Caenorhabditis elegans: one gene and its partner. The protein of the gene in region 1 interacts with the protein of each later gene in a pairwise test. Each region holds a gene or a part of one and is shown in the gene's direction. Other genes may lie near its edges.

Evidence for each region.
Region 2: the proteins of sdpn-1 (region 1) and figl-1 interact in a two-hybrid assay, tested with the Caenorhabditis elegans proteins (one large-scale study listed by BioGRID).

Annotation. Positions count from the first base shown.
Region 1 is NC_003284.9:7,995,074-7,999,835, reverse strand, and holds the start of sdpn-1 (SH3 domain-containing protein), read left to right. Parts: upstream 1-1,740; coding exon 1,741-1,757; intron 1,758-4,762.
Region 2 is NC_003283.11:4,340,904-4,347,948, reverse strand, and holds figl-1 (Fidgetin-like protein 1), read left to right. Parts: upstream 1-1,949; 5' UTR 1,950-1,952; coding exon 1,953-2,536; intron 2,537-3,239; coding exon 3,240-3,671; intron 3,672-4,682; coding exon 4,683-5,313; intron 5,314-6,184; coding exon 6,185-6,322; 3' UTR 6,323-6,518; downstream 6,519-7,045. Other genes in the region: mcm-7 (DNA replication licensing factor MCM7), read right to left, coding at 1-601, 650-751; hpo-18 (ATP synthase subunit epsilon, mitochondrial), read left to right, coding at 1,529-1,657, 1,705-1,740; glrx-3 (Glutaredoxin 3), read left to right, coding at 6,642-6,884. UniProt on the Caenorhabditis elegans protein: Has a role in spindle assembly which acts in the progression through mitosis during embryogenesis. Required for fertility.

The DNA of each region.
Region 1 (4,762 bases):
AGATGTTATCTCGAAAAAAAAGACTAGTACAGTACAAATGGGAAAAAGAGAATCTTCAGATTTTCAGGAGTGCGTTCTTTAACCTATTATCTAATTAAATTTCTGTGAAAGTTGATCAACATAAAAACCAAACAATCTGAGTTTGCTCAGGTTTTTTGCTTTTTCTGCTGTAATACAAATATTTATGCTGACACAACTCATGATGAATCACGAAAAAATTGTCTTTACATTGCAGATTAGGCACTTCCTTCAAAATAAACTGGCTAAAAACTACAATTCCAGTTTAAGATACGAATTTCAAAAAAAAAAGTGCAGAAAGTATTATAAACAAAATTCCATTCAGCAAAGAAAACGCTTGCATGTTGCGGCGTTGTTAAACAAAAATATTAGGATAAGTTCTTTACAAAGTATCATTTTTCAAATGCAGTCAAATTTGCCAGATCACCTAAATGTTTTCTCACTTGATTATATATTCCCTTGCCCAACACCACCGCATTGTATTGTTCTATTGAACCTTCTTAGATGATCAATTGTTCATCGGAACGTGTTGATCTTCAGTTGTACCAACTGTAATCCGTACCAACGTGCAAACGCTGATCCCATGTAAAAACAGTTACCTCGTGCTTATGACCGTTCTCTTTGTTTCTGTCACTCTTTTCTGCCGAAAACGTGGAGAGGGTGTTGCGTTCTTTTCGAAAGAGCTCGTCATGCTCCAGCACATAAACTGCTCTTGAGCTCATATTTATACAGTCGTGCTCTTTCACTCCACTCTCCTATATCTCTGCGTCTTATTATTGTCCTTCACCCTCTATCCGTCCATCATTATCGTCATCATCATCATCACCCATGTTTTCGTCTTCTATAATTGCCTGCTACCTATGTCCTCGGGGGGGGGGGGGGGGGGGTGAAGGAAAAAGGAAGCAAAGTCATTGGCATCTCAGCTGCCAAGTGGTAACAAAGTGAGGATAGGAATTCAATCCAGCATATTGAAAATGTCTAGTTTTCACCTCTTTTTGCATCTTTTTTTTCTTACCGTTCGCCCTCTTCCAATGCCATCGCCATGTATCGTGTTTCCGTGAGTAGTCTGCGTTTCACAATTACTCATCCGTCACAAAAAAGGCATTCGCGTTTCCACCTGGAAGCTCTTAGATACTTCAAACACTTTGCTTCCGAAAACCATTGACTTTCACTTCACTTTCCTTTCATTGAAACTATCAAAAGTGAATTACGAATAATAAGGAGAGTACCATTTGATTGTGCTGGATATCCTCCTAAGTCTTGATCTTGCTGAAAGTGATTCACAGATAGAAAGTGGCTTGAAATTTCTATGAATACTTCTAATATATGTTTAACGCTGTGCAACTTTGAGACTTTTCTTAGGAACCGTTAATTTTTATGTTTTCTAAATTTAATTTATTTTAAAACAATGTTTCCAGCAAACTCAAAACTATCAGTACTTTCAAAACTCCTCCCTTTTAAAGCTATTTTTCCAATTCTCTGTATTTTTTTTTAAAGTCCATGTATATTTGTTAGTTGAACAACCGCTCAAACAATATTGCCCCACACCTTTGAGTTTGCCCGCCAACACACACTTTCTCACTCGCCTAATCAGTTATTGACAGTGTACATTTAAAGACTTTTTGATCACGTTTCTCACTCTTTCCCAACTATTTTCTCTTGACTTCCCGTGTTCTGTTGCTCCATTCGTCTATTTCACTCGAATCGTCGATCTATTAAAACATGAGCTGTTTACCATGGTGAGTAGATTTTGCCTGTTAATGTTTCTGTTAATCAAAAATATTAATTGTGTTTTTACTTTCAATAAGTATCCGAATAATATTGAATTTTTAATCAAACACATACGTTTTTTTTCACAAGAAATCTATCATAAAAAAATGTTTCGAGTAAACCTACCTAAAAGCAAGGGTGAAGATTTTCGAAATTCCCCATATACATAGTTGACTGTCAGAATTTTCGGCAGTTTTCAACCTCAGTCATATTTCAAACAGTTTAACATTTAACCTTGACATAATTGTTCATTTTTAAAGTTCCGTCAAATACCTATCAATTCAAGACACATCAAGCTTGAAAAGCGAATATTTTACTACAAAATACGTTTATACGTTTTGAAATCTCCAGAAATGTTCAGACATTGCTGTTTTAAAATCTTTTCGCCAATTGACAAAACTTCGATTGCCGCATTTGTAATTGTCAGAAATATCTCACCTCGAAAATTACCTATGTCTATTAAAAAAAACAACCAAGTAAGATGCTACTCAAGGCAAGTTACGAATGTTTTAAAAGCCCTCAGAATTTGCAATTTTTTGCTTGCAAGCTTAAGTTTACAGCAGTACTAGTTTGTAATTTTTCTTCCTATAGACTCTTCCTATGATGTTTTTAACTTTTTTTTTCGACTTGTTCATCAACCTGACTACATTTTAATTGATGCAATTCCATATCAATCATGAAAAAACAAGTATTAACGGATCATCTTGTTGCTTAGGATAATATCAACAGGCAAGAAAGCAAACTAACATAATAAACCATCGAATCTGTGCACCAGCTGGCAGTTCACCTCTCATCACGGTGTAGCTATTTCGCCTACGTCTCGTACTCTCTAACCATTTCCACCACCCATTTCTCCACCATCACCATTCAACATTTTCAAACCATGCCCCGCTACTTGGCGCCTATTGATTTATGATACTCGTTTATGTTCCATTTTGAAATTTCTCATTTTCATTTGAAAACATGTTAGATATGTGACTCACTAGCAATGCCTGTTTGAGCCGCACGTGTTTTGCAAATTAGGCAAACGAACCACTAAGAATACATAAGAAGCGAATATCCTTTACATGTCCACTTGGCATCCCTTCGCTCAATCAACTTCTATTCATTTCTTGTTTCTAAGTCCTTCCGAACGGAGTAGTACTCACAATTAAGGTAATCACAACCCTGTTATCCACTATTGTCGTATGTGTTTCTATTTTGAGATTTTTCCCACAGAAATGAATAGCTTTACAAAGTTGCTAATTAGAAGTAAGTAATTTGAGTCGTGTTTTATGCGATTAACATCATATTTCGAGAAGTACGCGAAAATTTATATATTTGTTTAGTTTGAAACTACACGTAATTTTTGTTTTTGAAAGTTGTGTTTCGTTCTTGTTTAAAAAAAGTGTTATATCTATAAAAATTAGATTTTAGTTTTTAATTTTTAAATTGAAAATTTTTAAGACTCCCTATTCCTTGTAAAAATGTTAAGGAAAAAAGCGTTTTTTTTCACAAATTCATATTTATACATTTTTTTGAGAATTAGTCGTTGTCAGAATTTTAAATTATAGTTTTTTTCTTTTTTTTTTTAAATATCTGTTGTAGATTTTTTGCATTTTATTTCCCTAAGAACTTAATCCTCCTTACACCGTACATAGCCAAAAACCAGCAAGTCCTAATTAATCATTCTCAAAGCTGAGAAATTAAAATTTTAAAAACTATATTTCGCCAGTAATTTTTATGAAAAAAGCCATGAATGCATGTTTGAAACGCTTTGAGTTTAAAACGGGAACATTTTTTGATAAAACATTGCTTCAAAATCCGTAGATCTTCAAAAACCACTTTTTTTGTTGGAAATTTTTACTTTTAGGAATTCTCGTTAACCCTGAACAGTGTTTTCTTTTATTGTTCACAGTCATCATGTAGACTGTTCGAATTTAAAGTTAGCTCAATGTTTTAAATGACACTAATAATAACTTGTTTTGTTTACAAAAAAATGTTATATTTACAAGAAAAAAAACAAACAACATTGACTACGTTCCAACTGCCCAACTCCTGATAATGATGTCACTGTCACCAGAATTCCCATAATAATTCATATCAGTACTCTCTTCCTGGCGGGGCACTTTTATCTTCCCTGGAACCTTGAAAACCGGTTAATTTCATTTAAATCATTCATTTCGGTTGGATTAGATGAAGCTTCCTCTTTTTCTTCTGCTTAAGGAGTGAAACAGAATCCCATACGACTTTTTCATCGTTTCTTCATCACATCCACCTTCTGTTTCACTGTTAGTCTCACCTCACCTTCTCCACTTCTCACACCTTTTTACGATGTTCTATTAGAACATTGTGTATGCGATTGAGTGAGTGTGTATCTGTATATGTATGACCTATGCAAATTCTTTATCCGTTCGCAAAATCTGCGTTTATTAATACAGCGTGCACTTTTTCAAGAAAGTAACCGAAGAAATTGACGAAAAAGGAGAGATCGGGCTGCCTATTTCGAGGACAACACATTCCTTCCATATTCTTCCGTAAAATGTTCAGACACTGGTCCCCTTCTAACTAAAACTAGGTCTTCATATCTATCAAATAAGTTGCGTTAGAATGGAATCTGATTCTGGTCGCTTTAACTTGTACATATTTTCCGATAGTGTTGGTCTTTCAAGTGTATGCCATTAGTAACTTGTTAGGCAATCTTCTAGGACATTGGTCAAAAAGTCCGTTGTTCAATTACGTTAAGCAACGGATGAATACATGTTTTTGTTTTTATTCGGTTTTCACTCACTCTTTTCACCAATCAGCTGTCAAGGTTTCATATTCCTGTATGGAATTTTGAATTCAAATTTTGATTCCCTGTTTTTCAAAATCAAAACAAATACTTTTTTTCAAATTTCGCCATAGGGTGCTATACTTAATTTTGTGTTCTAGAATTGTATTCTTGTAAAAATAACAAATATTTCCCGTATGTCAAAACTGTCTCACTACATTA
Region 2 (7,045 bases), on another chromosome or scaffold:
TGTGAAGTCTTCCGTTGGCTTTTGCCTCAACGCATTCCTTGTTGGGACAGTTGACCGGTGGGGTGAATTGCATTCCCTTCACAGGCTGATAGACTTCGGCGGCACAAGTATCGCAAGTGTAGGTCATGACTTCAACACAAGGTTTCACCTCGGTCGCACGGATAACAACTCCCTTCATGGAGACCAAGTGCCCGATCTCGGTGGCTTTGATGTTTCGGACACACGTTTCATGGGCGGCATCGTCCGTTGTGAAGTAGACCTCGAAGCGTTGAAGGAGCTGTGGTGGGTATTTCTTGCGTTTGTCCTGAAGAGAAACTTCCTCGTTGGCGGCTCCCTCGTTCCTATCCATATGAAGACGCTGGAACATGTAGGCATCAAGAGCATCGATTACTGGCGCTTGCTTGTCTCCGAGATAGTCCTGGATCATATCCGAAATTGTGTCCTTGAACAGGACTTCGTATCTCTTTGTATTGGAAGTAATGGCTTCTGAGAGTTCAAGAGCATCTGGAATATCAGATTCCTTAATATGGTCAACATTCACAACGATTGCCTGCTTGTCGCGGCGAGCAATTTCAAAGACTTGATCACGATATGGGAATGCCTAAAAGTTGAATTTAAATACTCATTTATACACCAAATTCGGGAATACCTTTCCAGATCCGTCCTCATTGTCCACATAGTATTCGTCGAAGAAACTGCGAATTTTCGTCTTCTCGGCAGCCCAGTCTGTGTTGTAAGTGGTGGTTTTCATGGTGAGTGAGATTATAGGATTATAGAGCCGGGCTGAAATGATGGAAATTTTATTTTTTAATTGGAAAAACTGAAAAAATCGCGAAAAAAGCTGCTCTTGTAGCACAAAACCGATAATAAATGAGCGAGAGAGTGAAGGAATGTGCGGCAGATGGCAGCGTCGTCCGTTCGAATTTCGCGCGTTTGCCTCCTTCATGTCGTTGCGAGACCCACCAGAGTGCGAAAGTCTATGCGCCTTTAACTTATATTTTTCCGACATGGACTGTGCCATTTTTAGCTGTTTTTAAAGAAAATTGTTCGTTTTTTCATTGATTTTTGGTTGTTTTTAGATGGAATTAATGTTTATTTTAATTAAAATTGGTAAAATAATTGCTAAAATCGATAAATTGCTGCAGAAACGACAGGCAATTCTGAGAAAAAATGTTTTTTTTTGTCTCATCAGTAAAATTGTGGTTTTTCTTGGTTTTTTGTTAGTTTTTAGATGGGATTAATGTACATTTTAATCGCAAATTGTAAAATAGCTTTTATAATTTCGAAAATCGATAAATTGCTGCAGAAACGACACATTTTTTGTTTCAAGAGTAGAATTGTGATTTTTCATTGATTTTTGGCTGTTTTTAGATGAAATTAATGTTTTTTAATCGCAAATTGTAAAATAGCTTTTCTAATTGCTAAAATCGATAGATTTCATTAGTAAAATTGCGGTTTTTCTTTGTTTTCTTGTGCAAAATTAGTCGCTTTTTTCCAATATTTCTTTTTTATTCATGTTTTTCAGAAAATGGTCGCCTGGAGAGCCGCTGGACTCAACTACGTGCGTTACTCGCAAATCGCTGCCGAGATCACCCGCAAGTGCACCAAGCAAGTCGGAGGAAAGGCCGCTGTTAAGAAGCCAGAGGCAACTCTCAAGGTGATTAAATACGCCTTATTATTCAAGTTTTAACACGAATTTTTCAGATCACCACATGGGAAAATGGAAAGCAGCAAAAGTAGACAAATGATCGCACAACAGTATTCGAATAATTCCATTTGGATACATTCCATACCTTTCTTCTCTCACTTCCGATTGTTTATGATTTATTTTATTAGACGATATAAATTTTAAGCTCAATTATTCCTTTGCCTTTAAGTTGTTCAAGTTACCCCAGTCTTTTTGAATATTTTTTTGTGGGGGTTTTCAGGTCAAAAAACACTATTTTCAGATTATGTATTCTCCAAAACGGGTAAAACTCAATGTGACCAGTGGAATGAGAAAACGGCCCGAAACCGGCGAAAATAACGATGATCTTTACCCACCGACGGCTCTTGCTCGCAATGGGATTAGTCCGTATTTTATCGGAAAACCCCGTCGAAAAATAGTCGTGGAGACACCTTCGGATTCAGCTCAGCAGCAGCCTCCATTCAAATCTCGTTCTCAACAAAATGGTCTGGATGACGAGCTAGACGGGATAATAATTGATGAAGACGAAGATAGAACCGTTGATGTGTCGTTTTCACAAAAACAAGACACCCGGAAGCTCAAAAGTCGACCGTTTCTTGGCGAGAAAAGCAGCTTCAAACTTGGCGAAATTCCGAAACCAAAGGAGGAAAAACGCCGAGAAGAGCCGTTCACAATGCGAGGCTTCGATTTTGGAAGCGACGATAAAGTGACGAAAATCAGAGACAAAATCTGCGATATAGTGGATCCTACAAATGCTAGAAGAACTGATCCGAATTTTATTCGGCAAATGCATGAAAATACGCTGAAAGGCATCGAGGTGGCTTCAAATCCGCACTTTAAGAAGACCAGGTTCGTTAAGAGATCACGAAATTCTGAGAATGCGTATTTCACAACATATTTGACGCGCAAGATATCTCGTAGCGAAAAAGAAAACTACAGTAATTCTTTAAATGAAGCGCTTGTGTCGATTTACGGGCTTGATTCTCGGAAAAAGACACATTTTTCGAATTTTGATAGCGATATTCAATTTTTCTTCGTTTTTTTCCTATTCCTTTATCATTTTTGTGCTTATTTTTAATATTTTTTTTCCATTAATAAATTATTTTAATTGAAAAAACTCCAATATTCGCGTCATTTTGATGATAATACTCTAATACTCCACAAGCGTTTTTTTAACACTATTTCCCGTTTATTGCCGTAATAGGCGGGAAATAATATAAAAATACGCCTGTATGAGCTTACTCATCAAAAAAACGCCAAAATTGGAGTTTTTTGCAATTAAAGTAATTTATTAATAGATAAAATATTAAAAATAAGCACAAAAATGACCATGGTATTCGAAAAAAAAACGAAGAAAAATTGAGTATCGCTGTCAAAATTCGAAAATTTTGTTTTTTTTCCGAGAATCGAGCCCCCGTAAATCGACACAAGCGCTACAGTAGTCATAAAAAGAATATTTTGCGCGTCGAATATGTTGCGCAGTACGCATTCTCAGAATTTTGTGTTCCCGTAATATTAATCGATTTTTTTAAAAATGAAAGCGTCGTTTCAGAGCACCTACGAAAAACCGAGCAGCTATCCAAAATACCCTCGGAACCCTCTATCCATCATTTACGACTGCAGCCGGCCAGGATCCACAGAATAGCAAGTTCCAAGTGCCTCTGGATCGTCAATCCAGTTCCCAATCGATTGGAAGCTTGGCAGGGATACCACCGGCCAGAAGAGCACCGGATATCCCGAAACGATGCTCCAATCCGCTCATCAGAAAGGCGATGGGAATGGATACGGAAGGAGGTGGAAAAGATGAAAAAATGAGTGGATTGAGAGCTGAGCCAACGCTAAAGCACTTTGATGAAAATATCATTTCATTGATTGAATCGGAAATTATGTCTGTGAACAATGAGATCGGATGGGCTGATGTTGCTGGATTGGAAGGAGCGAAAAAAGCATTACGGGAGATTGTTGTACTGCCATTTAAAAGACCGTACGTTCTGAAAGGAGAAAAAAAGGGTTTTTCGGGTTTTTAGCTTGCTCAGACTCATAAAGTGCTCAAAAATGGCTGAAATTGGTTAAAATCTCGTTTTTTGTCAACTTTTCCACTTTTTTTGGTGGTTTATTTCACATTATTTTGTTGACGTAGGTACACTTAAAGCCGATAGGTGTTTTTAATTTAATTGTTTAATTTTTTATCGACTTAAATGAACCTAAATTGACGAAAAAATGTGATATAAACCACCAAAAGATGCTAAAAAGGATGATAATTCAATAAAATAGTGTTTCAGCTGATGCGGACAGGAAAAATAGACGAAATTCGAGATTTTAGATAAAATTAGCTATTTTTACGAGGTTTTGAACGCTTATTTTGTGCTTTTAGTCTATACACGCAAAAAAACCTCCTTTAAAGGTGGTGTAGTCGAATTTTTTATTGCATTATTAGACTCAAAATTATCTGAAAACACCGAATTTTATGATGAAACTACTTGGAAACTTCTCAAAAAAAAGTTATGAAGGCTTAAAAAATGTCCTAAAATTAGTTAACATTTGAAATTTGACCGACTTGTCAATGTCGCAGCGGCTGGAAACAATTTTTTTTAAATCACCGTCAAATTTTGAGTATGTAATGTAATTATCTTGCGTTTTCAACTTCACTTAGGTATTTTAAAGTCGATGGACGGCGAGATTTGGTAAAAAAAAACAATTTTAATCTCGCCGTCCATCGACTTTAAAATACCTAAATCGAGTTGAAAACGCAAGATAATTGACCTGTATACTCAAAATTTTACGGTGATTTCAAAAAAATTGTTTCCATCCGCTGACAAGTCAAATTTCAAATTTTAACTAATTTTAAGCCATTTTTTGAGCCGTCATAACTTTTTTTTGAGAATTTTTCAAGAAGTTTCATTATAAAATTCGGTGTTTTCAGACAATTTTGAGTCTAATAAAGCAATTTAAAAAATCCTCCAAAAATTTAATTGACAATTATAATTTTTTTCAGTGACGTCTTCACCGGAATCCGTGCTCCACCGAAAGGTGTTCTTCTATTCGGACCACCAGGAACCGGAAAAACAATGATCGGGAGATGTGTCGCTTCCCAGTGCAAAGCCACTTTCTTCAATATTTCAGCATCGTCGTTAACCTCAAAATGGGTTGGAGAAGGTGAAAAGCTTGTTCGTGCTCTGTTCTCAGTTGCTCGTCTGAAACTTCCGAGTGTTATCTTCATCGATGAGATCGACTCGTTACTATCATCCCGGTCGGAATCGGAACACGAATCTTCACGGCGCATCAAGACAGAGTTCCTGGTACAGTTGGATGGTGTGAATACGGCTCCAGATGAACGGCTTCTTGTATTGGGTGCCACAAATCGGCCACAAGAGTTGGATGAAGCTGCTCGTCGACGCTTCCAGAAGCGACTGTACATTGCGCTTCCGGAGCCAGAGTCGCGCACACAAATTGTGCAGAATCTACTTGTAGGCACGCGTCATGATATCACAAATCATAATTTGGAGCGGATTAGAGAGCTTACAGACGGCTATTCTGGAGCTGACATGAGGCAATTGTGCACTGAAGCAGCGATGGGTCCTATCAGAGACATTGGAGACGATATTGAGACGATTGATAAGGATGATGTGAGGATTCTGAATTAATATCAAACACTTGTGATCGGTGTAATCGCGCTCCACGGCCAATTGAAATTGCCCCGCCTCATAATGCTGGGTCTCGTTAGGAAGAAAAAAAATCCCATTGCTTTTGATTATGCGTTAATATCGAAGCTTCACGTGCATTTTCAAGAATCATTTCGGCATGAAAACCAGAAAGCAACTGAAAATAAATCAAAAAATGCATATAAACGGATGATTTCAGTAAAATCGAATTAAAAACTTGAATTTGCCGCCAATATTACGGTAACACTGAATTCGGAGAATGCGTACTGCACGACATATTCGACGAGCAAAATATCTCGTAGCGAAAACTACAGTGATTCTTTAAATGACTACTGTAGCGCGTGTGTCGATTTACGGGTACGATTTTCGAAACAATGAATCTCGTAAATCGACACAAGAGTTACATTAGACATTTAGAGAGTTACTGTAGTTTTCGCTATGAGATATTTTGCGCGTCAAATATGTTGCACAATACGCATTATATAAATTTAATGTTCCTCTTATACATAACGAGACCCAATGTTTAGCGTTAGAGCGCGATTGCACCTCAATTTAAAAAATCTCATTTTCCTCCGTCCACATAATAAAACACCTCCATGTTCCGAAAATGAACACTTTTCGAAAATTTATGAAATGTCATGCCACAACAACAAACAATTTCGCAACTCTCTCACATGACTGACGAATCTTATTATTTTTTATTTACCATTTGCCGTACGAATTGTCACATTTATTTTCTATTTTTGCACTCGGTCATCATAAAAATTAGATAAACACTCGAGCTCTGAAACATCAAATGCTCCGGTTTTAATCAACTAATCGATGAAAATTTCAGATTCGTGCCGTTACTGTAATGGATTTCGCCGAAGCAGCTCGTGTCGTTCGGCCAACAGTCGACGATTCTCAATTGGATGCCTACGCGGCTTGGGACAAAAAATTCGGTTGCCTTCCACCTCCTTCAATATCCCGTTGAGACCTTCAGAATTGAGCTGTCGAATATGTGTACTATAATTCCATCCACTTCTTCTATTTATTTATTTTTATTTTCATTGAAATCTTCTCCTGTATTATGCATTCCATCTCTTTTCTATATTATGATCTCAAAACGATCCGTATTTCATTGTTTTTTTTTATATTTTTTCTGAAAATTATTATATATTTTCAATTTTTAAACATATTTTTCATTATTCATTATTGAAATTTCAAGGTTTATTTTACCTTTCTCGTATATTTTTTTAATTTTTTTATTCAAATTTCTAGCTTTTTACCATTGCCAGCCAAAAAATTCCAGAATGCCAATTCAAGAAATCAAGTCAGGAGAGGAGGTTGCTGCGTTCATTAAGGAACCATCTCCAGCTGTTCTTCATTTCTACGCATCGTGGGCTCCAAGCTGTGAGCAAGTTAATCAGCTACTGGATGATTTGCTCGCTGAAATTGCTCTGCCGCTTCGTGCCGCCTTCATTGACGCTGAAGCTTTGCCCGGAATTTCGTTGAATTTCAAGATTACTGCTGCGCCGACGCTTGTATTTTTTAGTGTAAGTGAGCAACGAAAAAACAAGAAATTGAAATTTGTGAAAAAAAACAAAGAAAAGTTTCGATTTATTCTGAACTTTTTTTTAGGAAAAAAGTCATTGAAAAACGTTAAAAACCACTGAAAACCACATTTTGAAATCATTTTTTCGTTAAAATACCAACA